Oryzias latipes: one gene and its partners. The main gene of each other region encodes a partner of the protein of the gene in region 2 in a complex. Links are inferred from orthologs where the notes say so. Each region holds a gene or a part of one and is shown on either strand. Other genes may lie near its edges.

Region 1 (4,011 bases), on a different chromosome or scaffold from region 2:
CCAGCTGTCAGACATCATACAGAAAAGTCAAAACCTCAAACCTTCTCTTCATTTTTCTACCAAATTAAAGATTTGTTAGATTTTACGTTCATTCTGTGGCGCCCTCTGCTGGATTAAACAGTAAACTACTCATAACGTTTAGTTTAAAGATCAGCTCTGATCATCTTAAGATCTAGTGTCAAAGCCTTCCCAGTGGTTCTAATTATGATTACCCAGTTTGTTGTTGTGGCGAAACTGTTGGTACAGAGCAACCCCGCCCCCCTTTCCCTCGGAGCAGGGAGCTTGTTGCCCGCCCACCATATTTTCAACGTCACAAATACGATCTTAATCAAAAGGCATTTTGTCTTCTGCTCCTGATTCATTCTTCATACGTGTTCTCCATCATGAGAAAGATGCCACAAGAATATTAAAAAAAAAAAAGATCTTATGGATTTCTTTGCTGTTTCCCAAATAACCAAATGCAAATTTTCTGTTCTTTTCTACAAATGTTAAAAGATTAACCTTTAATTCCAGCACCCAAGTTTTCATCTAAATACTTATATTTTTCTGTCATTTTTTAACTAATATTTAACCTGAGAAAATTCACTCGACAAAGAATCTACTTTGGAATTTCAGGAAATTAAACATTTTAAAAACAAGTCCAGATATAAGACTTTTTTCTGAAGAGCTTAGAAAAGCGTAAGAAAAGATGTTACTGTTATGGTGGCGTGTCACAGTTTGGTAAAAACCCATTCCATCTGAGGATTTCTGCAACAATCATGTACTTTTCCTGCCGTTTATCACTTTTTTTCTACAAACTAAACAAGTAAAATGTTTATGGTAATTTCCTCTGAGTAAAACACAACAAATGTATTTCTTTTAAAATCTCATAATAAAAGATGACAAAGTTAAACAACAACCTTCATCTAAACAACAAGAGTTTCTTAGCAAAGGTCAAATTTCATGAAATCTAAATATACAAAGAATTATGTAAAATATGGAGAAGCAACACCGGTTTGGTGTGAGAGCTTTAAGGGTCTGAAATCTCAATTTTTTAAACAGATTTCTTTTATTCTACATGTGCTGCTATCTAAACAATAGAACAAAATGGTTTGATATGTTTTGGTAAGAAAAGTTGTTCCAGATTTAGAAATGCTAGCCAACTTTCATGCAGTATCAGGCCGCTGCAGCGACTGACTTACAGACTTAATTGCTCAGTGAAGGACAAAAAAGCTAAATTTGGAACATTTTTAGTTGTGATTACTACGGATAACCCTGATCAAAAAATGAGCATCACAGATAAATACTTAAAAAAAATAAGTGTTTAGAGTTGTTTTGACTTATTTACTGTTTAAATAACAATGTGAGACAACATTTATGATTTGGTTTGAATGACTTCATTGGTTCAGAGAAATGTTTTGTTATTTGTGCCCAGAATAATCTTATTGTGAAAAACCAGAAGTGTTTTCATTTAGAAACTGTATTGAGTTTGTTTTTGACTCTTGGATGAAGCGGAAAGTTCCTGATCAATAATTGCTGAACAGGATCGTTTAGCAAACTCAAAAAAGCCTCCGTCATCTTTGCAGAGGCTGTCACTATGCGACAGGAGCCATTTGACCTTTTTTTAAACGACTTTTTTTTATTAAAATGTTATATGATAGGATAGTTAGAATTTTTGAAAAAAATTGTAAACTGGTACAAGAAAAGCTGCTAATTGGTTTTCCACCAACAGTCGTCTAAGTTAATGCTCAGAATAGAAGACTGAAAACACTGTTGGTCATTTAGAAACATGTATAATAATAACAAACTGAGTACGATAAAAACACTCTTGACTAATTTAAAATAGATTGAATAAATAATTGCATTTACTTTTGAGTAGTTTGCCTCTGTGTTGCAGCTGCATTTTAAAATCCCAGAATAAACCCTGATATAGTTGTGAATGAAGCTAGAGTTGCTTTTACCTGCATGTTCATGTATCCGTCCACAGACACCAGGTAGCCTTTGTACTCCATTCCCCACTTCAGCTTCACCATCACTGGTTTCCCTGTCAGGCCGTTCAGGAAAGGCTTTGGGTTGAGGGGCAAACTCTGCGGCAGAGGGGATTGAAACCTTACATCAAGTCTGCAAACATGACGCTTTTCCCTATGAGATATTTAGAACTTTAAGTATGCGGGTTATTCATGTTATGGACAGTCTCCACGTCTGATTTCTTTACACCACCAATCATCAACAGGAGCGACTGAAGAACCAATCTGGACTGCATTAAAAAAATAAATTGAATAATTGGGAAACAGTACATAAATTCGGTTTTGGAGCAGTTTAATTATTCAAATGACCTATATACTTCTATTAATCTGTTGTATAATGTTCGACCACACTACTACCTGCAGAGGAACGTCATAGTTTTGTGTTGTTCCGACGGACGTTCATTTTCTGATACGGCAACACGTTACCCAAAACAAACAACACTTTAGTAAAAGCTCACTTGAATATCTAACCGTTTCATTTTTAAAGTTTTGTTTTTAGTGTAAGTTTGTTTTCCCCTACGAGCTGTGTAAACCAGTTATGAATGGGATGCTAACATGGCTAGCATAAACGAGCTAACTCTCTTAAATTCTTTGTTTTAACAAACTTCAATAAACCCAAAGGCCGTGTGAAATTACATATTTGAAGAGTTACTCACCATTTTGCTCGATTAAGTTTAGACCCGATTAACAGTAAATTAGAAGTTTATTATGTCTTCGTCACAAAAACGTTTTAGCTTCACAAACTAGAAGCACGCTTTGCCGCCGACAGGAAACGGAAGTGGCATCGAGCTTTTCGCCGCGCCTCACGTCGCCCCCTGGCGTTCTGGATGTATTAGTGCAACAAAAAGACTCGGACTATATTCTGATCACATTCCAGTGCATCTGCTTTATAAAGTCATAATAAAATAATCATAAATAAAATCAGTTTACAAAATGACACAACATCATTCACACAATTAGTAAACAACAAAAAATAAACAAACTATGAAAAAAAACATAAATAAACTATTTTATAACAATGAGACAAGACCAAATGTCAAAAAATAAATAAATAAGTGAAATTAAAAATGATTTATAATCAGATAATATAAAACCCAATGGAATTATAGAATTGTTGTCATCAGCTCCAGGCTGCTGACAACATGTGCTGACGAACTCTCACATTCTGCTGTTTATTTGAAAGGCTTGCATTACCGAGCTTTAATGTAAGAAAATGATTTTAGTTTTGTAAATGTTTCATTTGAGCCTGGAGCTGGAGAAGATGCCAAAACTGTGGATGACATCTCACCATACAGGCACTCACACTCTGTATCAACGCCAGGTAGATTTCACGTTTGCTACAGAGGAATCATGGTGCGAGGCGGTTACCAAGGAGGCAATGGCTAAGTAAGTAAGCTGAGAAGTGTTTATGACATATAGATTGTTGGGAAAACAGTGCGAGAATCAATGTGTGAGTTGGTGGGTCTCATCTTCAGAAGATAGATAGATAGATAGATAGATAGATAGATAGATAGATAGATAGATAGATAGATAGATAGATAGATAGATAGATAGATAGATAGATAGATAGATAGATAGATAGATAGATAGATAGATAGATAGATAGATAGATAGATAGATAGATAGATAGATAGATAGATAGATAGATAGATAGATAGATAGATAGATAGATAGATAGATAGATAGATAGATAGATAGATAGATAGATAGATAGATAGATAGATAGATAGATAGATAGATAGGGTTGGTTTCCCTTTTGGCTTTTCCCATCAGGGGTCGCCACAGCGAACGAGTCGCATGGTAAACTTGGCAATGTTTTACGCCGGATGCCCTTCCTGACGCAACCTTCTCAAAGCAACCGGGCTTGGGACCGGCACAGAAGTAGAGAAGGGAACAGGGAGCAGCCCGGAGTCGAACCCTGGTTTCACGGACGGAAGGCGCCGCAAACCAGCACGAGCTAAACCAGCTCCCTATATATCTATATATATATATATATAAAATTTAA
Region 2 (3,757 bases):
GAGGACCGAGAGTCGGAGGCGCTGGCACAGCAGGCCAGCAAAGCCTGATGGGAAACAGAATGTGTCCAACAGCTGCCTTTTTTTTTTTGCTTTATCATCTTCAGGGTTGAAGAGAACATTTGATTTTTTGTTTACTCATCAAAGTGCGATGCCTTCTGCTTTCTGTTTGTTAATAAAGTTGTTACAATTTGAATCAACGCCTGGCAGATTCAAAAGCTATTTTCCCATCAAAACTTAAACTTCCTGGAGAGGGAAAGCACTGATTAACATCATCATTTATGTCTTTAATACACTGAATGTGTTTTGTCAAATTGTGCTGTTTTCTTCCAAATAATCAGCAAATATATAATTATTAATTCTTACATTTTATTTTTTGTCAGGACAGCTTTCCATGAGCACATCACCATGGTAACTTGCTAACAACATCCTACTGAGGATGAATGAAGCTGTTTTTCTTTTTTCTTTAAAATTGCTTGTAAAAGTAAAAATCATAGTTTATCAAATTTATCATAGTTTCAAAATGTTCCCATAACCTCTTAAAGTTAAGGTAGCTCAGGTCATGTTAGTGAGGAAATATGAAGTAATGGATGCTAACATCCTCTTGAATGGCTGGCTGTTCTCTTTGGTAGATTTTGGGTTGAATCTCAGCCATTTGTTTTTTTAGTGAGTGCGAATTTATGAGATTTCCATTTTTCTGAGGGTCTAGCATGAATTCCTATAAACCTTTGCTTCATAAAAAACGTTTTTGATGTCTTTATTGATAGCAGGAAACGTGGATTGTATCTCCTTTCTATGCAAACAAAAGCAGCCGCCTCAAAGTTTTGTTTCTCTAAAGTTATTTTCAGCGGCTCTTTTCAGTGTCACTGTGATGATTTAAAGTTTGAAAAATGTTTTGGGAATTTTTCACAATCTTCCTTTGTAAAGGAAAAAGTAAAACAAACTGTCGCATTTTTTAAATGTATGTTTGATTTTATTTTTGCTTTTGATCATTACAGCTCAGATGTTCAACCAAAAAAAAATAAAACTAATCAGCTGTGCTTTTGCACAAATAAAAATCTATTAATACAATGAGTTTTTTAAGGTTTTCTATATATATATATATATATATATATATATATATATATATATATATATATATATATATATATATATATATATATATATATATAAAATATATCACACACTTCATGTGCATGTATTTTTATAGTTGTTTTGGTCATTTTCTAACTGCAAATAGTATTATTTGCCTTTGGCTGATCCCTTTTTAAACCAGATTACTCCTCCCAGCCGCACGAGGGCGCAGCACAGCAAAGGTCACAGGGTTTTACTTCCGGTCTCCCGGTCCACACGCGTTTCCTACGCGGTTTTGTGAATTGAAACACGACTTTGTTTCGTTAAAATACAGACACCATGAGCAAAGCGCATCCACCAGAGCTAAAGAAGTAAGTTTGCAAGTTTTTGAAAGATGATAGGCCTGATAGCTTCGGTCTTTTTCGCGAGATTGTAGTATGTTTCCATGTTAGCCACCGTTAGCCGGAACAGCTAGGAATTGAAGCTAAATCTAAATAATGTTTTTGTCTTTCAGATTCATGGACAAAAAGCTTTCCCGTGAGTTAAAACTCTCGTTTCATTATTTAATACATATTTCAAAATTACACTATATTTCTATTCATTCGCCGGCTTTTTCTTGTGAAATTAAATTCGCTTTTAGCTAAGCTAGCAGCCTTCATGTTCATCAGTTTGCTCTTTTTGTTTTCTTCAGTGAAGCTGAATGGAGGCAGACACGTCCAGGGCATCCTGCGAGGGTTCGACCCCTTCATGAACCTGGTGATGGACGACTGTCTGGAGATGGGCCCCGGGGGACAGCAGAACACCATCGGGATGGTGGTCAGTGTCCGAGCAGAACTGTGAAGCATGAGGGAATAGTTTAATTCAATGTTTTACCCCACCCGTAATAGCAGGACGAATAGGTTCAATTAAAGATCATACTCTTTATTTATTTTTATCTTTATTAGCAATTCCATCTTTTGACAATTTGAACCAATTTGAGTGCTGTCTACATAGATTTATAAAAACATGCACAACTGTTTTCCTAACAAACCAGACAATCCTATAAAGAAATATGAACCAATAAAATATGTTAGGGGTCTGCTAGTTAGTAACAAAAATGTAAATGTTCTAAAAATCATCTTTTTGATAAAGAAAATTTTCTACCTCACAAATACACTTTTTTTGTTTTAATTACTTTTTTTTTAACTCCTTTTAATTCACTACATTTTGAATAAAGAAATACGCAGAAAAGCAATTTTAAGCATATTTTTTTTAAATATATGTCCTCATCAGAAAAATGCCACAAGAACATGTCAAAGTAAATAAATTAAAGCAATCCCAGTTGGTCATTTAGTGGTTTTGATCATTTCCGGCAACTAATTTTTAATTTTTTCTACAAAAACAAATTTTGTTTCGAAGTTTATTCAAAATTCTTTAGTCAAAGAACCTATTCTATCCACTTTCTCTTGTAAATATAACATTATATTGATAAGACAGACTTCCTCGTTTGTTTTCCAGGCATCTGTATTCTAGTTGCTACTGGTTTTCTAGATCGGGAAGCTGCAGATTCTGCTTGATGAAATCCACCTGATCCACGTGACTAGCTGCAAATAAAGCAGGGTTACTGGAAAACATTTCCACATTTTTATGTGTAGCCAAAAGTTCATTACTACTTAAAATAAATACATCCAGACCAACAGGGGAGCCTCAATGCCTACTGAAAATCTCTCTTAAATATATTATACTGCCCCCCCCCCCCCCCCCCCCCCCCCCCAATACTCCAGCTTTTCCAAAGATGTCTAATTAGTTTATCTGAAACAAAACTGACCTGTCTTTACGGAAGAACAAATAACAATTGCCTGTTCCAGTGAATATCTGTGAAACCAAACGTTGGCAGGTTCGTGGTTTTTCCTGATGTGACAGCCTCAGGAAAGGGTTTAGTAGTTTTTCCCAAACTAGAACATTTCTCTTATTCAACACACAATTGTGTAAAAATAAATGTGTAAACGTGAAAAGATCTGATCTGTTTTCCTTTTGTCTTCCCGAAGGTCATCCGAGGAAACAGCATCATCATGTTGGAGGCTTTGGAGCGAGTATGAGCAGAGCACAGCGGCGCCTCCTGTTTTCTCATTCCATTGTAGTTCATTCACAATGAAAGTCTGTTGGTTTTGAGATGTTTGTTTGTTAATAAACTATTTTTCTTTTTATCCGTGCATTTGTTTGGTTTTACGAAATGTTACTGTATGTGTTCTTTCCTGTAGATGCAGCAAGAATTTAGTGTTTTTGTAATGGAGGATGAGCTGCTAAACAAAAAAAGAATATCTTAAATGTTAGGGTTAGTCTTATCTTAAGGAATTCGAAAGCTTTTTTTATAGCTTAGCTGTTAAAAAGCTATAATGGCTAAACAATGTTGGGAATGCTGGTGATGAAGACATAAATGCTGAACTATTTTAATAATTTGATAGACCTAAAGTCAGCTGAATATTTAAGATATGCGTAATTTCCATTCATGAGCTGGCAAACTTGTTATAAACTAGCAGGCAAGTATTTGTTCATAAAATATTAAAAAGTTGGATTCAGTTTGTTTATTCTTGAGCTCTATCAAGTTTAAAAGTTTCCACGTTGAAAGGAAAAAAATTTAAGGTATTTTAAAATTAAAAACATTAGCTGCTTGACACTAAAACAAAGGGTTACCAATTTTTCTAAA
Region 3 (3,948 bases), on a different chromosome or scaffold from region 2:
GAGATCTTCAATAACAAACATAAGTTTTTACAATGATGTCAAAATTCAAAGTGGATTTTCTTTATTTTATTGGAAACTTATGTGGGTTAAGAGCCAGCCCATCTAAGTATTGGACAAAAGGTTTTTACATTTGCAGTCATCAACATCCACACCATCCACCAGAGGTGGATCAGCAGTATCTGGAACATCATCAACAATAAGTTGAGATGTAATCAGTTCCAGAAACTGTGAAAAAAAACCTTATCAACCTATTTCAATCACTTATAGGAAAAGTGAAAACTAATCAAGCCAATTAAAGAGCCAAATATTACAAAGAGAAAAAAAAAGATTTATTCTTCTTTGATGCCAGTAGAACAGCTACATTTTCAGCCAACTTTGCCAAAGACACAAGAAGGTATAAAAAAAGCAAAAAACAGATGACATTTTTACCCAGTTTAAATGCTGCTCAGACATTTTATTCAAGATGGTACAAATTATGAATCAACAGCATCCAAAACCCCCTCGCGGTCTTAAACAACCCACGAGTATAAAAAAGAAAAACAACCCTAAACTTACACTTAGATTCACTTTGCGTCCACCGCGCAGTACAATTAAAAGCTGTACAAACAGTTGGGGCTCTGAAATCATCTCCGTGGTCCACCTCGCCCTCGTCCTCTTCCTCTGCCACGGCCCCGTCCTCTGCCTCGCCCCCTACCAGCAACTGAGAACAAGAAAGGCCAGATTCTTTCACCATACTCGTGAAAAAAAAAAGTTTTAATCAGCAGAACAAAACATTTCTCAAAGAAATAAACAGCAGATTTACACACCCATGATGAATATAAATACTGTTGAGGGATTTCTTATCGCAGAAAAATCCTTCTCAACTTAATACAATTTTCCAGGTAAGAATGTGCCCAAATCTCCCACCTGCTTCTCTCTTCTTGGACTTGATCTTTGGTTCAATGTCGACCAGCAAGGTGTCCAGTGGAAGACTGTCTGGCAGGATGAAGTAGCGAATGTTGTTGCCTCGGATACTCAGGGACTCCAGCTGAGTGGGTTCCCTGTTCTTTAGGGTCATTTTCACCGCCTTCAAGTGTGTGTTCATGCTTACATCAACACCTATTAAAAAGAAGAAGAAGAGGATTTTAAAAATGATTTAGTTCATTTATTCGTCTCTAAAGTGTTTGCTCTCACCTGTGATGGTGCCATGGACCTGAGTGCCATTCTTCAGTTCAATGGTAACGGTCTCATGACTGAGCTTCATCAAAAACCTGTGTGGACACGGGAGAGTAGCATACATTTACATTTACTTAACCTTTAAGAGTTGTTTTACTGCACTATACTTTACCAAACATACCATTTTGTAATCAAAAAGCAGTACCAGTATAATGTATCTACACTTCAGGGAAAGAATCATTTTCGCAAAAAAAAAAAAAACATGATTTATTGTCATCCCACATGAAACAAAAAAGGTTCACGTGTTTTATTCTTACTCAAAAGTGTATTTTTCAAAAACCTAGAATTGGCACATTCATTTTGGTTTTCTGAATCCAAAAGGCACTTTCATTTAAACGTCAATGTTTTAAAGTGACAATACCATGAAAAAAAATACACTAATAACATGCTGACCTTTAAGCAGAACTAGAACAGGAAAATGTTAATCAATAATTGATTGGTGGACTTTAACAAATTAAAAGCATCATTTTTATGTCTGTTCATATTCACAAAATACAAATGAAATAAACAAAATGTCAAACATAAAAAAAACGAGGGAAATAAACATACTGTGATATGCACCATTTCATACAAAAACTGCATTTGATCCCATACATACTGGATAAAATGGAAGACTTTAAACTCCATTTTCAGATTCACATTTTTTAATGTTTTGTATGAACATTTATGCGGACTTTTTGTTAGAAATAATTGTTGGTAACGTTTTCTGTTAATCATAAAAATATTTTGATAAATTAAATACAATAAAAAACCGCTTTATTAGAAGGTTGGCACCATTGCTGTAGAAGACTTTAATGACTAGATCCATCTTGAATGATCAATTAGCCAACTTACTGCTTTGCACAAAGAAGACGTCTCTCTCTCACAAACATTAGACAGCATTTTTGTACAACACATAAGATTTAACGTATAAAATTGTACAAAATACCCCCCCCCCCCTTTTTGAATGTATTTTTTTTTTAGTATCTAAACAAAACTCGTGTTAGCTCTTAGCTTGTTAGCTTCGGTGGATTGATACTGTTGTGTAAACTGAAAACAAAACATTTGTCTCTTAAGTTGTGGAAATTAAAAACATCCAAAAATAAATACAATTAAATAATGATAAAGCACTTTGAGGAAACGGAAACAACATCTAATAAATTAACCTCCTTTAGTACGATAGTTTTAATAATGCGGGGGGAAATTTGCAAAACCATAAATGATAACGAATCAGCCTCGATCTTTTACAAATATTGCTAAAACAAGCAGTTTAATCCTTGATTAAATAGTTAGCTCTAATGATATGTTTATATGTATTTTTTGAATGAAAACCCAGCAGCCTTGTTCCCGCCTCTCCACACAGTTCATTTGTCTATCTGAACCCATCCGGCCACACAGCCTTTATTTCATCATCCTATCTTAAACCAGTCGACACATCTACAGACCATGCAGCAAATTACCTGACTAGTTTCATGACGAACAGTAGAGAAAAGATCCTCCACCGACGAGAAAAATTACAGCGATCGAGTGAAATCACAGGCCGCTGATGTACCACCAACGTTTGTGTCGCGTTGATATGACGTCAGAAAGAGGCCACCGCTCACCGTCAATGTTGTCTTACCGCCGCCTGGTGGTGAGATGAAGAACAGTCAGTGGAAAGACAAAAATGAGTTGTTTTCTCTTACTCATTGGGTTGGTGGCATCTAATATTCCTTTACTGTCTTTATTTAATTACTTACCAATTACTTTAATTATTAACTGTTTTTCTATGTGTTTTATTGTTTTTTCCATCTAATGCTGTTTTTTTCCCCTCTCAATCTACTCAATTTTAAATGTTATGTTAATGTAAGCCCTTTGGCACCCTGATGCCATTGTATGGTGCTAAAAAATAAAGTACCAGTCATTTATTCATAGATTTCTATTTATGTATTTGGCATTTAAAATTATTAATGGAAATGCCATTTAACAGAGAAACTTTTTTCTTAAATTTTGTTCTTATTGGCCCTTTTTTTGAAGCAACAAAAACAAAACATCTCTGAGAGAACTGCTTCAACTACGAATACTGTTCTGTTTTTATTTATGATCAAAAAATTGTCATAGGAATTTATTCAGGCATTGTTTGCAGTACCGTGAAAAAAGAGAACACAGCACACTGTGGTTCACATTCAGCCAATCATAATTGACCCGATTTGGTAGAAGTAGGCTTTGTGATTGGGTGTCTTCATGTTGGCATCACATGTACATAAAAAGGCAAAGACAGTAAAGACAGAAAAGAAAAAAAAATAACGATTTACTTCCTGATTGATTTCATTTTTTTACCTTTTCACCAACTTGCTCGTATTTAAGGTTATCGATTGATAGAGCTGTTACTTCCAGTACTTGATCAATTTTCAATACGTAACTGTATCCTTTACATCCTTACAAAATACACAAAAAGCTGGGAACCATTGATCTAGGAAAGAAGACAAAAAGAACAAAGGAGCAAACTTTCAGATCTTTTTATTGAGAGTAAACTTTGCATTGATATTTCATTTAGAGTTTTGGCCAAACAGCAATACTTTTTATTTATTGAGACAAGCTGGGAATGTATCAAGTGAAACCTAAAGAAAGTGCAAATTGTTGTATTTAAAAAAAAAGAAAAAAGAAGGTATTTGTGGAGGGAGGATTTAATCAAACAGTGTGGAGAACAAATGCCACCACAACATTCACCATCAGTCCAAACGTGAAAATGCTGAAAAACCCCCAAACATGTCC
Region 4 (3,166 bases), on a different chromosome or scaffold from region 2:
GACACTTCAACCGGCATCTTCCCGCTCTTTACCCATCGCAGCGACGGACAGCAGGTGGTCGTTCAGCTCTCCTTTCTCCGTTGCCAGCTGCAGCGCCCCCTGCAGGTCTCCGCTCCACAGCCGCAGGTACACCACCGAGTCGAAGTGCCCCGCCTGCACGTGACCTTCCTCTGAGGGTCGACAGGAAGTTGAACGTTACGCTGAAACGCCCAAAGCCAGGAAGGGAGAACCAACAAACCTTCTGCCTCCAGCATGAGGCGCAGAGCCCGCCGGTCTGCAAACAGGCCCAGGTGGACATGGTCGCCATGTCCCGGGCTGCAGCCAGCAGGTGGCGCTGAAAACACACAATCAGCCCTGCTTTGTGAAAAAAGGGTCGAACTGAAGACTTAAGCTCGTTTAAGTTTTCTGACATTTTTATTTTGCATTTGGAGACCATCTGCCAGTTTTCTCTCACCTGAGGCGTGTCTGACGGCGGCCAGAGTGACGCAGTCCTGCAGCAGCTCCTCCCTGGGCCGGTGGTCCATGGACGTGCTGAGGGGCAGCATGGAGCGAGGCTTCTTCTTCTTCAGGAGGCTCAAATCTGCTGCGGAGCCAGCAAGGGACATGTTCAGAACCCAAAGAAAAAGCCGTTTGAACAAGAATCAGACACAAACCTGGTGGCTTCTCTTTACTTCTGGAGACAGATGAGGATTTCTTCTCCAAAGATGCTAAAAAAAGGAAAAAATGATTAGAAAAATGCGATTTGACATGAATCCTTCAGGCCTCAGACGCATTCACCTCCTGGAGGATGCATGCTGCTCGTGGAGCCGACCTCCTCCTCCTCCTCCTCAGACAGATCCTTCTCTCCGTCGCCGTTCATCTTTGGCACCACATCTCCTCCGAGCCCCGGCGCGCTCTTGCTCTTCTTCTTCTGCTTGGAGCCGGACTTCTTCTTCTCCTGCAGCGTGCTCATCTTCCTCCCTGGGAGGAGAACATGTCAGTCGTGAGCAGGAGGACCTGGCTGGATCCCCCCTCAGAGCCTCATCGTCACCTTTAGGTGGCTTTGTGAACTCCTGTTGGGAGACCTTCCACTCCTGCACGGTGAAGTCTTTTCCTCCGGTCCAGATCACGTCTGGATCAACGGGGGACCAGTCCACGCTCAGCAGATACCCCACGTGACCCCGGTAGTTAGAGATGGGCGCCTCCTCCAGGACGTCCCACACCTGAAACGAGACCCGCCCATCAGACCTCAGAACAGCATTTTGGCTTCACCTGTGTGGAGCAGCAGACCTGTGCCGTGCCGTCATACGAGGCCGTGACCAGCCGAGCGCTGTGATGTGGACTCCACGCCATCCCGGTGATCTTGGCTGTGTGACCGCACAACCGCCGGTACGGCTCCGTCAGGACCACAGGAGTCTCTGGAGGGTTCTCTGAAGACCAGGAAGACTCGTAAAGATGTGGGTTCCATAAGGAATTACTGCCATCTATCCATCCAACCATCCAGCTATCCACCTATTCATCCATCTGACGATTCATTTATCCATCCATCCATCCGTCTTCGTGTAAAGTTGTAGACCTAAGTTTCAAAACTGGAAATATTAAATCTACATCCAAACTGCAAGTATTCGTCCTGAACGACAGTTGATGTTTGATAAACTGATCCAAAGGAAACCAAACAACAAAATGGGATGAAGGTGAAGAAGATGAGAATTCTGAAGGGATCCCAGAAACGGTCATATCCTCTCTGACAGTGGGGTAACTGGGAGGATTCAGAGCAGGTTGGAGCCGTTTATTGGACGCTTGTGTTGTCATGTGACTATTGTTGTGAACGTAAGGTCCCCACCTATCACGGAGCGGAGGTCGTGCACGTAGACGATGGCGTTGCTGGAGCCCGAGGCCAGGAGCGTGTGCAGCTCTGAGGCGGAGCCGTGCTGGTGATGCCACCGCAGCGAGTTGATGATCTTGTGGTGCTGCTGGACGCTGCACAGTTGCTTCAGGTTGGGGGCTTGGAAAACATCAATGCACCTGATGAAAGAGATGAAAAGACCGGTGAAAGAGGCCAGTTTCCAGGAAAACAAGCAACTTTTGACATGTTTACTTTGTGATGCAACCTGACAGAAAACCTCAAAGCTCCACCGCTCCTCATCTCTGCTTCAGATGTTTTAACCATTAGATCAAAAAGTCTGGTTGGCGTTTCTAAGGGTTCACGTGTGAAAACAACTCACCCATCCTCGTTACCGATGGCAACGACTTTCCCATCCGGCTTCCAGCTGAGGTCGGTGTGTGGAGACAGCTTGTGCTGTTGGAGATAAAGATCAGTTTCAGGGTCGGTGCAGCTCAGCTGCTTTCAGGACAAACGGCAGAAACTCGCCGCCATTCTCAGCCTGAAACGGCAGAAACTCGCCGGCATTCTCAGCCTGAAACGGCAGAAACTCGCCGCCATTCTCAGCCTGAAACGGCAGAAACTCGCCGCCAGTCTCAGCCTGAAACGGCAGAAACTCGCCGCCAGTCTCAGCCTGAAACTCGCCGCCATTCTCAGCCTGAAACGGCAGAAACTCGCCGCCAGTCTCAGCCTGAAACGGCAGAAACTCGCCGCCAGTCTCAGCCTGAAACGGCAGAAACTCGCCGCCAGTCTCAGCCTGAAACTCGCCGCCATTCTCAGCCTGAAACGGCAGAAACTCGCCGCCAGTCTCAGCCTGAAACGGCAGAAACTCGCCGCCAGTCTCAGCCTGAAACGGCAGAAACTCGCCGCCATTCTCAGCCTGAAACGGCAGAAACTCGCCGCCATTCTCAGCCTGAAACGGCAGAAACTCGCCGCCAGTCTCAGCCTGAAACGGCAGAAACTCGCCGCCAGTCTCAGCCTGAAACTCGCCGCCATTCTCAGCCTGAAACGGCAGAAACTCGCCGCCAGTCTCAGCCTGAAACGGCAGAAACTCGCCGCCAGTCTCAGCCTAAAACAGCAGAAACTCGCCGCCAGTCTCAGCCTGAAACGGCAGAAACTCGCCGCCAGTCTCAGCCTGAAACGGCAGAAACTCGCCGCCATTCTCAGCCTGAAACGGCAGAAACTCGCCGCCAGTCTCAGCCTGAAACGGCAGAAACTCGCCGCCAGTCTCAGCCTGAAACGGCAGAAACTCGCCGCCATTCTCAGCCTGTAACGGCAGAAACTCGCCGCCAGTCTCAGCCTGAA
Region 5 (3,983 bases), on a different chromosome or scaffold from region 2:
GCGGCTTGAAGAGGAAGGCAGAGAAGACGACTATCAAGATGAACAGGATGAGATCAACGAACTGATGGAAATTGTCCTCAAAAAAATGGTGAGATGTTGCCCTCCCATCTGCCTTTGTCACATTTGGATCGATGTTGATTGTAAGAATTTTGTCTTGATGTGTGCAGATTTATTTTGGTAACATGCCAACATTGCTTCCTGTGATTCCACAGGACCACGACAAAGACGGCAGGCTGTCTTTTCAAGATTTTGAGAAGTCTGTAAAAAAGGAGGAGCTACTCCTTGAAGCCTTTGGAAGCTGCCTGCCCAATTTCAGGGTAATCACAACCAAAAGTTGCTGAGCTTAAAAATATTGTAAGGATCTATTTAACTTAAATCTTTCTTTTTAGACAAAGAAGAAGTTTGAGCAGCAAGTACTGGAAAAGCAGCAAGATGAATAATAAAATATGAAGTGCAAGCGGTGTTCAACTTTGAGACTTTCATGAAAGAAAAAGCCAAAATGTTTTTCTTAAAGTACAATTTTATTTTAAGTTGAGCCTTTCAACGTTAGTTTTGATAAATATGGACAGTCGTCACTAAAACAGAATGGATCATATCCGACGGCGTGGCTTAACCTTCTTCTCCGCTGGTTTGAGGTCTGGGACCGATGTCACCTAGGAATGAATGAAAAGAATGAGACTGAAATGCACCAATATGGCATCATGTCAAGCTCTAATTCTCATTAAAAAAAAAATAAAAGACTACCTGCTTCATTGTGCCCCTGATCAGATTTACTGTTGTGTTTAGCGACTGATCATTCATGTCCAGCTTATGTGGTTCTGGTAGTTTTGGTCCAATCAAAGACGGTTCTCCAGAATCAGGCACTGGCTGTTTTGTGGCCTCCTCCATTTTGCGGCGTTTGTTCTTTTCCAAATGTGCAGTTCTTGGAACAAGCTTGACGGAAGAATCTGGGTTGGAGGCCAATTTTTTTTCGGAATTAGGGTCTTTACTGAAAGAGCTAAAGTTCTGGACTTTCTGCTGTTTTACGTCAGGAGGCACTGCGTCATGTAAAGTCCCCATTTGATCTTCTGTTGGTTCGTTCCCACGATAATCCTGATGAAAGTATTCCTGCGGGGGTAAAGGCAGTAGAGGAAATCCGGAACAATGGCTGAAGCTTGAAGTCTCGCCTGTTTTGTCACTATTGAAGATTGGATTATTTGTAGCAAAAACTCTGCTTGATGTGGGAACGCTTTCTGAAGACGTAGATTCCATGTGTACCGCATCCGCTACTCTTTCTTTTGCTGTATAAACATGAAACAGATAAATGACACTCATCAAATTCTTTATCTATACTTTAAACTTACAAAACAACAAAAAACATTTGATTTCAGATAAAAATACACAAAAAAAATTTTTTAATCACAGTTTTTTTTCATTGAACTTTTAAAAAACAATTACCTAAGAAAAAAAAGATTCAGTGCTTTTCAACACCGTATATCGTCAAAATGCGATAATACCTCTACTCCGAGCCACTTTCAGAACATAACTTCTCCTGTCCTGCAGCTTTAACTTGGTGTCTTCCACAGACTCGTACTCCGGGACGTAACACACATGCAGCACGCCGCCATAGAAACTCTTCTCATCCATGTTACGTTTCGCCGCTCTGGAACATCAAATATCAACCTGAATGACATATTTTTCAGCATTTCTGGTTTAGGGCAGTACAGTTAAGGTGCCCGCCATACCTAGCACTTGTCAGTTTTTGAAACTTGACCAGGTAGACTTCTGTGAACTCCTCAGCAGGATACTCGTCCAGCGGTCTGTATTCCTCCACTGTTCCATAAAGAGCACACAACTGGATCAGCTCCTCCATCACTCCAATAGCGGGGACTCCCTGGATCATCACATAACGGGACTCTAAATTTATTGTGTAGACCTGGCAGATACAAAGGCATGGTTATTAGTATATGTGAGGCTGTTGACGTGACCAATAAAAATCAATTAACTTAAAGACATAATCATCAGATCTGATGTACTTTCCTGCAACTCAGAAATCCAGTCTACTGTATTAGAAATTTGATTTTTATGGTTTATTAATTACAATTTTTTCGAAATGACTCAAACTTTTTACCATGTCTTTTATTTAATTTTATTTATTTATTTTTGCCAAAACGACAGTTTTATTTGTTTTTTTAAGACCTGCCGTTGGTCTTTTATTTATCACTTGCTGTGTGACTACAATTTATACTTTTTTCTTCCAGTTAAAAAAAAAGATTTTAAAATTTTCTCTTACATTCTTAAATGTAAAAATAAAACCAACTTACACATAATTATTAGCTCGTCGCTTGCGTCAACACAGACCGTCTTTGCTACAAACATTAGAAACGTTTTTCTTACCTTGACTGCTTTAGCTCTCCTTCCATCTCTATATTTGGGTCTAGAAAAACATGCGTTGTGTTGTTCGTGATGTTTGTAGACTTCTGGGACCTTCCAACAACCAGGTTTACTGTTGACATTTGCCGCCATGTTTGCTGAAACGCGTTTCCGCTTTGGTGGCATTTCAAAACAAGAGTTCATTCCGTTGTGCAGAGCACTCAACGTGTAGTGTTGACGACGTGGCAGTCTTATTTTGAAATGATCGATTCCATCGACAATCGACTGTTTTGTCTGGATCAGTTCTCTCATTCATCGAAATGTTTGTTGCACTTTGGCCGTTAGCGCACCAGCATGTTAAGCACTTTAAATGCTAAAATAGCGATGTAAACGTCATGTTTAGCAACCAGGGAATTCAACCAGTATGTGTTGTTTTTAACAACACTAAAAACTGCTTTATTCAACTCTCTTCAAAGCTGATATCGCACCTTTCTCTGAATGAGGTAAAGTATTAGCTAATTACTTAACATCGCTTCAGTTTTGTTGCATAAAGTTTACTGAATAATGACTGCTTTTGTGTTTTACACATTGCTGGTTTGTTTCTCTGACATTACAAGGGGACCTTTGGTTGCATTTAAGGTTTTAGTTTTTCTTAATTAAAACTTATAACAAAAGCAGAGCATTTTTTTATTATCACGTGTACTTAATTAGTATTAGGAAGTAATGCAAGGCAACAAAAAATGAATTGTTGGTAAAAATAGAAATTGGGCATCAAATACTGTCCTCATTCAGGGGTCTTTAGTCTAAAGGAAACTGCATTGTTTTGATTTTTAACACATTAACTCCTAGAAATAGTTTAATTTAGAAAAGGTTGATTATTATAATAACTAATGTGATCATCTCAATATTTCTATATTTTGCTACCACACCTGTGGAATATTTTTGCAATTTTTTAATTTAATTCTTCTGCTGAGCATAAAATCTGAAATGTATGTAATGATACAAAATGTACAAGAATAAAAACTAATAAAGGTATCACAAGTATCTAACATTCATAAAGTTGGAATCATAATTTCGACATCCGCTTTAAGAGACCATTCTGTGTCTTATTTCATCGTCTCTCTTTGGCCGGTCCGTTTTAGAATCAGGCTTTGGAGCTGTCTTGGGACGGCGGGTCGACAGTGTTCCTTAGCTGGTGTCCCATCAGAGCCTCCTTAGGAGCAGACAGCCACAGAGTGGAGTTGTCTCGGCAGCTTGGAGAAAAGCTCGGTTTGACTGATGGAGAACAGGTAAAGACCTTGGTTTCTTCCTTTAGGTCATCAACTGGGACGAACACTGCCTGTGCAACAGTCTCTTAACATTGGTCTGACATTGAGTGGTTTTCACAGTGTTTTCTCAGACCATGCCATCAAGTCTCTTCGCTGAATCAGGTGTTTGTGGAGCCACTGTCATCTGATGACTGGGAGATTTTGGTGAGTGAAATATTGACTTTTGTGTAATTTGTCTAATTGCAGTTATACATTATCATGAAATCAATCTCCTGAGAACATAATCAACTTCTAAAACTCATTTCTAATTATCAAAATAAAAGTTAGTCATTTTAGCTTTCCCTTCTTTCTTTCTTTTTGCAT
Region 6 (4,028 bases), on a different chromosome or scaffold from region 2:
CAAGAATCATATTTTTCCTTGATTATTAAAACATTGTGTTTGAACAAAGTCATGCTGCTGACTGTAAACACAGAGGTACCAAAACAAAATGGATCAAATGTTTTACTTTGCGTTCTTGCTCTTCGGCTCGCTCCTTCTTTATCTTCTCAAGCTCAGCCAACAGAGCTGCAGTGTCGTCATCATCACTATCTTCATCAGAGTTCTCATCCTCGTCATCCTGTGAAGAGGAAGGATTTTAGAGAGGATTAAGGCTGCAATGGCCTCATGCAGCACAACTATGGCAGAATGGTGACAGCCCCCATGCACTGCTGACGTTCTTTTCCACTGTTTAATGACTTTTAAATAAGTTGACATTTTCAGACGTATTCTCAATAAAAGACATTTACAAGAGAGTACATCAGTCTTTATTTGTAGTGTGCACACTTGGACACTTTTAAGTCAGCTACAGTTATCAGTTTAACTAATGCCACCTTGTTGGAGGTACCAGTGCTGGATGTGTTGCTGGTAGCTGTAGATGTGGATGAGGTTCAGCTTCAGGAGCTGTACTGTGGGACCGACCATAAGAGGCAATGCAGGGAGTTTAGCCTTTAAATACACCAGCCTGGCATTTGGAGAGCCCCAGTCTGCTCAATTTTTCCAGAGGAGGAACAACGGTCATATTTAAATCAAGTTTGTTTGCCACACTTTTTAAATTTTGTGTACATTTTTTTTCTTGAATGAAAAAACTAAGTTTTAAGTTTACCCACAATTGTTCTTTTAGGTGGTCTGATCAGCTAAAATTAACCACAAATGAACCATCTGGGATGTTTCAAGTTTAATGTGTCCAAAGCAGAGAAGTTGTACAAAAGAAATTGTTTGTTAAAAGTCAACTTTACAGTGATTTTTCCCCAATTAAGTCAATCCAGGCATTTTATTGCTAATTTTAATATTTACAGTCTTTAAAGAGAAAGTTTTATAGCACTAAAATATCAATATCTATTCAGATCATGTCAAGTGCAACAGCGAGAAAAGGTCTCATCTCCCAGCCGTAGGTGTACTGATGAAATGTTTTCTTTATTATATCAGTGCAGACACTTACATCAGTGAGAGGGTCATCAGCATCAAGGTTAGCAGCTGGAATCTGATCCAACCTGGGCCTCTTTGATGATGATGAAGATGATGAAGAGGATGTAGTGTGTTCTGGAGAGAAAAAAATGTAAAGACTGCATTTACAGAAAAATACATACTTTGCTTGGTTTATACTTGTGTGTCAAAAACAGTAAGTCTAAAATTTTGATAGAGACTAACCTCTTGGTCCCCTCTCTCTGGTCTTCTCACGTGCTGCTACACGCTCCTTCTCCTCCAGTTCCCTACGGAAATCACGGGCACGCACCTCCTCGGGGGCATCCTGAGTGGGCTGTCTAAGGGATCATAGCATTTTCAAGACTAAGTCCCACTACAAACTCCAAAAACCACTCATGAGATAAATAGTAACATGTACAGTTGGGGGAAAAAGTATTTCTCAGTAACATATTTAGCAAATTGTCTAATTTAAAAAGATGAGAGGTCTATGATTCCATCATATACACTACAACTGTGAGAGATTGAATGCATATTAAAAAAAAATATATAGCGAAAATTGTAAAAATATTTTTTGTAGAACTTGCACAATTGGTAAATGCAAACCACCCCTCCTACACACTGTAGCTACAATTTAAACATAACCTGCAGCAAACAAACCATCAAGAATTATCAATACTAAATGATGTACTCCAAATGTACAAAAGCTTTATGGTTATACAATTTAGTTGATAACCATTTTAATACTGAGCAATGACTTATTAGATGCAAGATATTTGTGAGCAAATTATTTAACATTTTCTTAAGGGTCATGGAGAGACACTAAATAGACAAGAAAATGCACACATGCCCCCCCCCCCCCCCATGTCATAAACTGATTCATGTGATGCTCCAACGTGAGGTTAGCTTAATTGTACCCAACACATTATACATGTAGACATTTAATCAAGTGTAGATTTATGTTCCACTTTTTAATAATTATAGCACAAAAAGACTAATTTAATCAATCCGGTTTGACCATTTCCCAAATAATTCAGATTGAATCTTCGAGAATCTTAACATGATTAAATATGTTTCTTTCAAACAATCGCTTTCTTTTTCAACTGAGCTGTCGCAGCAGAGTTTAATAGGAACTAAAAACCACCTGTATTTGATCTTGGTGTGACCTGGAAGATCTCGGCTGGAATATTGCTTGGACAAGGCACTCAGATCGCCTTCTCCTTTTCCTCTCCCTCCTCTCGCCGGCTCAAACGTTGGTCTTGCTGCGGTAGTCATCCCTAACCTGCTTCAACAACAACACGGTATTTGTCAAACATGAGTACAGTTATTTTCAGTTAGCTACTGTACTTTAAACGCAGAACAAACAAGGTAACATCAGTTGTATATAACAAAACATATACATACATTTATCGATTAAACAGACTTTAATACTTATAAAGGGTATTACTAGCCACCAAATTTGATTATGCTAACACTCAGACAAGACAAAAAACTCATTTTGGGCTCTTTAGAAAACTTATTTGTTTTAAGATTCACTGCACACTAATCAAACGAGATGTATGGCTACATTTATCATATTTATACCGTTTTAACAAAAAAACATCTGTAAAAAAACGTCTTTGACTTGGAAAAAATACTCACGATTCCACTACACGGCTAGCGGAAAGAGGATACCATAGAACGTCACTTCCGGATTGAAATTGCTGTTGCGCATGCGTCAAGAATACGATTCTGTTGGTGCGTTTAAAAAGAATTGGAAAATGCATTACTCATTTCAAATGTAATCTGATATTTATCGTAAAGAAATTACTATATTGTACCAAAGGAGAAAGAATTAGCACAAAAATGCTTTGTTACACCTTTCTTTTTCAAAATGCTGTGGTGATATTCCAGGGTACATGGTTGAATTCTAAAGCATTACAGCCAAAAATGTCTATTACTGATTTCAGCAAACCAACACTCACATTTAAAATGAAAAACATATAAAACCTTTGAGCACTGGTGTAAACAAGGAAGTGTTTACGAGGAGTCATCTTGTCTCTTCTTTTGAAGTAACCGGTAGAATTACTGTAGAAATGTGCGATTAGGGTTTGCAAAACATTTTACGTGGCCACCATGGGGCAATGTGCATCAGGTTCAGTGTCTTCCTGTAGCTTAATTTCTCCACTCAAAGTGAACATTAACATCACAACATGATTTTTAAATATAGTTTATTCCAAATTGAACACATTATTTTTAACTTTATTTAACAGTCTTGATACGTAGATTCTATTAAACATAATTGAAACACTTGTAACAGATGTAAAATTCCTGTCTTTTTCCATTTTAGACCTGATGAGTCTTCATCCTTAGGTTTTGAGATGTTCTTCTCAGATAATATGCCTTCCTCTTTAAAAGGATGTTTCTCTGGATTTGTGCCGTTGGACTCTTTGCTGCCTTTGGCTTTAACTTCAACTACAGAAACACTGGTTTATATTTGTTCAGTGTTTGCTGTTTAAGTTTGATGAGTTTATTTTATTCTTTTCCAAAGATATATCAATACATAATTGTGAAAATACAAATCTAAAACACCTCTTAGGCTCAAAAATACACTCTTAAATGAAAGGGAGAAGAGAGAACATGATTTGCCCCTTTTCCCCTTAATACTGAACAATATTTGGATTGCACCAAACTTGTCCCTCCCCTCCAATGTTTTAAGAAATGTCTGAGAAATGACAAAAGTATTAATCAATTTATAAATAATTTAATGAAAATCAGGCATAACTCTGGAATTTTTGTACAATAATTAACTAGTGAAATGACTGGACAAAGTATTGGTAACTTAAACTTCATATTTTGTTTTCTGTGCCTTTCAATTAGAATTCTGCACCTGTTTGCAGACATTTTACCAACTTTTTGTTAAAAAAAAAAAGCTTCATTTTTAGTGTGTTTGGAATGATTGCTATGCTGGAAGAGCCAGCTATGTTCTG
Region 7 (4,218 bases), on a different chromosome or scaffold from region 2:
CGCTGATGGTAAAAGAAGAGGACAGATTACAGGTTTTAGATCATCTCCTCACCCTCGACGTGCAGGTTGAGCTCCATGTTGGCGAAAAGCGGGTTCACAGTCAAAGAACAAATGTAGCTTCCTTCGCTGCTCATCTTGGTGAAGGGGAGAGTGTAGGAGGCATCTCCCCCAGCCAGGGCCTTCTTCCCAACTCCAGAGCCATGAATCTCCCCGGAGCGGCTGTTGTAGCGGAAGAGCATCCTTCTCTCTCCGCGGGACTGCCAGTGCCACTCCACGGTGACGTTTGGGCCTCGGTGGTCGATGCTGAACTGACAGTGGAGTTTGGGCTGCGAGCGTAGTCTGACTTTCACAGATGGAGTCTCTGTTTTCAGCAACATGGCGACTATGGACACAAATAGGATGAACCCTCTTACAGGCCTTCGTTCTGACATGCAGAAGCAGCGTCAGATGAAGGGGACACCTACCTGTGGTGGTAAGAACCTCTCGGTCGGCGATGGGCGGCCAGCTGCGGTAGTCCTGCTGTCCTGGAGGAGGTTGGTCAGACGGATGTCTGAGGAAAGCAGTGACGCTGAACTTGTCCTTTCTGTGTCTGAGGATGCAGGTGTACCAGCGGTTGTACCCCTCTGCCCCCAGGGCGGGCCAGCGGACATGGATGCCCTCTGTGCTGTACCGTCGGACCTCACACTCCAACTCCTCTACCTCCACCCCTTCAATGGACCGCTGCAGGTCCAGTTTTGAAACTAAAGCAACATAAAAAGTCATGAATGTAATTCTTTCCTGCCCCGATTCGTGTCTTGGACAGAAGCTCACCAGTGATCAGGAAGGTGATGGCGTGGGGATTGACAGGAGCGTCTCCTTTTAGACCAAACTGAACCATAGCCTCTCTGGGAATGAGCTGTGTCTCAATGTGTCCTTCACTGTTGTTGGACACATGTTCGTCAGTGAACTGACATGACAGCCATGGTATCTGCTGAACGCTCCTCACAACTGAGAACACAGAAAAACTAACATTAAACACACCCTTCATTTAAATTTAGTTCCTTTCATGAACTAACTGATAGAACAGCTGCAAACATACTTTAAAATAACTTACCTCCAATCACATAAAAGTAAATAACAACTTTCTGAAATACTCCCATTTTGATTATTCAATTGAATTTCTTGGTTCACCTTGTTTCTACCAGCAGCCAGGATCTAAAAAGTACTTTCATTTTCACTTCTGCAGAAAAAAAACGATTTGCCTTTAGCTCGCGTCACATGACCTACAAGATTAAAACCATAACAAAAAAAAAACATTTTTATATATATTCATAAACACAATAACAAATGAAATGACGTTTAAATCTGATGTAAAATATTTAAATCTCGCTCCGAAGAAAAACGTTAAAACTGCAGTACCGAATTTATCCGGGTGCGTCGCTGTGAACAAACATCCGGTATATGCGTCGCATGGCGGAAGCGTGTTTGCGGCTGCGCAGTTCTGCTGTGGATGTTTTTAGTTGGATTATGTTGTTTCAGAAATCTAACTTTAAACTTCGGAAACCGTGAACGTAACGGCGCGTTTAGAGAGTTTCCAGGTAAACGGATTACACTGGTATTTACCTGCACGCAACAATTATCACGGTGATAATGGACAAAGGTAAAATAGCTTTTATTTTTACTCTCTCTGTAGACCAGTTAAGTCACTGACTTTAAGTTAAAATAAATTCTTACAAAAGAAAATATTATTTAATAAAGAAAAGCAATGTTTTTTAATTTAAATTGTTTTTCCAACACACGACGCATTCATACCGATTTACACACGCGGTGAACCGCTTTGAATTGTGGGAAACTGAGTTTGGTGTGGTAAAATGAATGACATATGGATCCCCTGAAGGGATTTGGCAAAAGGTGAATAACAACAAGATCTACACTGATCCTGACATAAAGACGAACGCACACAAACACTCACACATTAAACACAATAAAAACTATATGGCTCTGTCCATGAAAACTGAGTTATTTATTGGAGATCATATCTGAAAGTTGAGAAGAAGCTTTGGTGTTTTTATCTGTGGATACGGTGGCCCTGAAGTTCAAATCACATCCACAAATTACTGTTTTAAAACATCACACAGCAGTCCTGGAATGCAAAAACAAAATTGTTTTTGCAATTCTTGTTTCTTACTGCATATTTGAATGAAAACTTGACACCCCACCCCACCCCCCGCTTTAATTTTGTTTAGATTTATCAAATGTAACGTTTTCTTGTTATTTTATTGCTTTTGTTGTTGTTATCTTTAAGATGTCTTTACATTGATATGATGATGTGATTGGCACTTCAGGGCTCTGATTATGTCATGTGATTTCAGGCTCTGCGGTTCTGCAGGGGGCTTTCCTGCTGGCAGACAAACTGTGTCGCCCCTCATTTCTATCCTGCGTGAACAAATCCGACTGGATCGCGGCGGGACGCCCGATCCTACAGGCTCTGCAGGAAGTCTGTGAACTGGAGGAAGCTGACGGTCATCACAGCTCGACCTGGACGAAGAAGGTGGTCTGTGCTGTGTGGCTGAAGCTCTTGAGCGCTGAGGAGGATGTTGAGAGAGCGTGGAGGGAGAACCCCTTTTTTTCCTTCCAGCAGAGCCTCCCTGAAGTTAACCATGTTGTCCTGTTGGAGTTGGTGAAGAACGCTGCTGCTTCACATGTTTACGCAGGTTTTCTCCTTCATCTTCCTGAAGATTTGATCTGCTTGGAGCTGAAGAGGCTGGTAGAGCATGTGAAGAGCGAGCCTACAAGCGAAGAGGATGTTCATTTCTTTCTAGAGATGTGGCGGGAGCTGTGGAAAGGCCAAGAGCAAGCCAAGCTCAGAAACGACGAGAGCATGGAGATGATGTTTGCCAAGCAGGTTGCTCGTCTCACCTCCATGTCTTCTAGTTTGTCTCCTCAGGCTGCCAAGAGGTTAAAGCTGGAGACACAAGACTCAGCAGAGGCTGATGTTTTCCACATTCTCCTCAATGCCCTCAAAGACATGGCAGATCACGTCTCCTCATTAGACCTGTGCTTCCAGTCTCTCTCCATGTCCCTTGATGCTCTTTTTACATCATTTCTGATAGACCGAGAAGTTGTTCTATCAGCTCAGGAGAAGATGGACATCCTGTGTAAAGCCATCAGTACTAAAGGAAAGAATGAAAAACTTCAACCTGAACTTGTTGAAGAAGCTCAGAGACATTTACGGGCTTCGATTTCCCCGTCTCAGTTCAAAGTCAGGAGGATGGATCTGGGTGAAGCTCTGAGGGTCATAGCAGAACTTAGTCAGTCTTGGAAAGACCGAGGACTCTTGGACGTCCAGGACGGCTCTCGCTCCTCCTACTCTGCTTTCCAGCTGGAGCAAAGTGTCCAGAGAGTCTCCACTGCTCTGGAAGAAGCTCCCACAGCAGCGACAGAGAAGAACCTGCTCGTGGCTGTGCTGAAGTCTCTGGTTCTTCCTGTCACAGAGAGCAGCCCTGAGGTGCATGCTCAGGTGCTCTCCACCATCATCACTCACCGCCTGGAAGACCACGAGAGCTTCGCTGCCTTGTTTGCCAGAGAGCCGCCCTGGACGCACTGTGATGAAGGCTGGATGGATTGCCTGGAGAGGAGCCAAGCTTCCTTCCGTCAGCATGACGCCGTGATCGGCCTCTCCTCTACTCTAATGAACAAACTACGCATGGAGAATGCAGACGTCAGCCAGTGCAGAAAGCTGATGAAAATCATAGCAGATATCTTCTCCAGCCTTTCCTTAGAAGACATGAACAAAGCCTTGGTGTCCATGTTAAGATTGTCTAGGAAGGGCTTCTTCGAATTCCCCGTTCCTCCTGAGGTGGCTGGAGGGTTTGAGCAGGAGCTCAACATGGCCTTCAACTGCATCATCCAAGCAGGAAGTGGAGCGTCCTCAGCTGTTCCTCAAGGGAACCTGACCACGGCCGTCTCACTCGTAGCCAGAGTGGCTTTTCAGAACCCAGAAGGCGCCTTACGGTCCTGCTGCCACTCAGCTGTTTTCAATAAAGGAGCATTTTCGATGATGGCAAAGATCCTGCAGCATCTGCCTGGACTCAGCGGTCAGAGAGGAGGAGATGGAGATGGAAGGAGGAGCGGAGAGGAGAACACGGCTAAAGACGGGACCTCTAGTCTGCTCTGCAGGTGCCTACACCAGACGGTCAAGGACAAGTCCCTGTCAGCCAACGAGAAGGAACAGTTTGC

The links.
Region 1: snrpg (region 2) and snrpf share a complex: the UniProt entries of both Homo sapiens proteins name them as parts of the U7 snRNP complex. The link is inferred for Oryzias latipes from reciprocal best matches to the Homo sapiens genes SNRPG and SNRPF.
Region 3: snrpg (region 2) and snrpd1 share a complex: the UniProt entries of both Homo sapiens proteins name them as parts of the SMN-Sm complex. The link is inferred for Oryzias latipes from reciprocal best matches to the Homo sapiens genes SNRPG and SNRPD1.
Region 4: snrpg (region 2) and gemin5 share a complex: the UniProt entries of both Homo sapiens proteins name them as parts of the SMN-Sm complex. The link is inferred for Oryzias latipes from reciprocal best matches to the Homo sapiens genes SNRPG and GEMIN5.
Region 5: snrpg (region 2) and rbm48 share a complex: the UniProt entries of both Homo sapiens proteins name them as parts of the minor spliceosome. The link is inferred for Oryzias latipes from reciprocal best matches to the Homo sapiens genes SNRPG and RBM48.
Region 6: snrpg (region 2) and cwc15 share a complex: the UniProt entries of both Homo sapiens proteins name them as parts of the minor spliceosome. The link is inferred for Oryzias latipes from reciprocal best matches to the Homo sapiens genes SNRPG and CWC15.
Region 7: snrpg (region 2) and gemin4 share a complex: the UniProt entries of both Homo sapiens proteins name them as parts of the SMN-Sm complex. The link is inferred for Oryzias latipes from reciprocal best matches to the Homo sapiens genes SNRPG and GEMIN4.

What each region holds. Positions count from the first base shown.
Region 1 is NC_019881.2:20,375,325-20,379,335, forward strand, and holds the start of snrpf (small nuclear ribonucleoprotein F), read right to left. Parts: upstream 2,801-4,011; 5' UTR 2,666-2,800; coding exon 2,663-2,665; intron 2,067-2,662; coding exon 1,941-2,066; intron 5-1,940; coding exon 1-4. UniProt on the Homo sapiens protein: Plays a role in pre-mRNA splicing as a core component of the spliceosomal U1, U2, U4 and U5 small nuclear ribonucleoproteins (snRNPs), the building blocks of the spliceosome.
Region 2 is NC_019865.2:4,866,768-4,870,524, reverse strand, and holds snrpg (small nuclear ribonucleoprotein G), read left to right. Parts: upstream 1-1,296; 5' UTR 1,297-1,410; coding exon 1,411-1,442; intron 1,443-1,585; coding exon 1,586-1,608; intron 1,609-1,762; coding exon 1,763-1,887; intron 1,888-3,098; coding exon 3,099-3,149; 3' UTR 3,150-3,257; downstream 3,258-3,757. Other genes in the region: zinc finger protein Xfin, read left to right, coding at 1-48. UniProt on the Homo sapiens protein: Plays a role in pre-mRNA splicing as a core component of the spliceosomal U1, U2, U4 and U5 small nuclear ribonucleoproteins (snRNPs), the building blocks of the spliceosome.
Region 3 is NC_019869.2:22,965,507-22,969,454, forward strand, and holds snrpd1 (small nuclear ribonucleoprotein Sm D1), read right to left. Parts: upstream 2,801-3,948; 5' UTR 2,669-2,800; coding exon 2,655-2,668; intron 1,251-2,654; coding exon 1,174-1,250; intron 1,099-1,173; coding exon 907-1,098; intron 701-906; coding exon 624-700; 3' UTR 52-623; downstream 1-51. UniProt on the Homo sapiens protein: Plays a role in pre-mRNA splicing as a core component of the spliceosomal U1, U2, U4 and U5 small nuclear ribonucleoproteins (snRNPs), the building blocks of the spliceosome.
Region 4 is NC_019872.2:29,392,423-29,395,588, forward strand, and holds part of gemin5 (gem-associated protein 5), read right to left. Parts: intron 2,279-3,166; coding exon 2,205-2,278; intron 2,005-2,204; coding exon 1,823-2,004; intron 1,410-1,822; coding exon 1,270-1,409; intron 1,203-1,269; coding exon 1,031-1,202; intron 961-1,030; coding exon 778-960; intron 708-777; coding exon 654-707; intron 584-653; coding exon 455-583; intron 335-454; coding exon 239-334; intron 171-238; coding exon 33-170; intron 1-32. UniProt on the Homo sapiens protein: The SMN complex catalyzes the assembly of small nuclear ribonucleoproteins (snRNPs), the building blocks of the spliceosome, and thereby plays an important role in the splicing of cellular pre-mRNAs.
Region 5 is NC_019869.2:21,761,586-21,765,568, reverse strand, and holds rbm48 (RNA-binding protein 48), read right to left. Parts: upstream 2,554-3,983; 5' UTR 2,539-2,553; coding exon 2,377-2,538; intron 1,916-2,376; coding exon 1,725-1,915; intron 1,643-1,724; coding exon 1,497-1,642; intron 1,281-1,496; coding exon 745-1,280; intron 739-744; exon of another isoform or gene 654-738; coding exon 591-653; 3' UTR 501-590; downstream 1-500. Other genes in the region: efcab1 (EF-hand calcium-binding domain-containing protein 1), read left to right, coding at 1-88, 213-317, 390-440; pex1 (peroxisome biogenesis factor 1), read left to right, coding at 2,748-2,855, 3,495-3,641, 3,741-3,824. UniProt on the Homo sapiens protein: As a component of the minor spliceosome, involved in the splicing of U12-type introns in pre-mRNAs.
Region 6 is NC_019872.2:16,000,765-16,004,792, forward strand, and holds the start of cwc15 (spliceosome-associated protein CWC15 homolog), read right to left. Parts: upstream 2,801-4,028; 5' UTR 2,701-2,800; intron 2,345-2,700; exon of another isoform or gene 2,342-2,344; 5' UTR 2,335-2,341; coding exon 2,204-2,334; intron 1,401-2,203; coding exon 1,288-1,400; intron 1,180-1,287; coding exon 1,079-1,179; intron 218-1,078; coding exon 107-217; intron 1-106. UniProt on the Homo sapiens protein: Involved in pre-mRNA splicing as component of the spliceosome. Component of the PRP19-CDC5L complex that forms an integral part of the spliceosome and is required for activating pre-mRNA splicing.
Region 7 is NC_019871.2:19,886,961-19,891,178, forward strand, and holds the start of gemin4 (gem-associated protein 4), read left to right. Parts: upstream 1-1,418; 5' UTR 1,419-1,489; coding exon 1,490-1,577; exon of another isoform or gene 1,578-1,629; coding exon of another isoform or gene 1,630-1,639; intron 1,640-2,351; coding exon 2,352-4,218. Other genes in the region: tapasin-related protein, read right to left, coding at 53-382, 465-740, 811-987, 1,094-1,139. UniProt on the Homo sapiens protein: The SMN complex catalyzes the assembly of small nuclear ribonucleoproteins (snRNPs), the building blocks of the spliceosome, and thereby plays an important role in the splicing of cellular pre-mRNAs.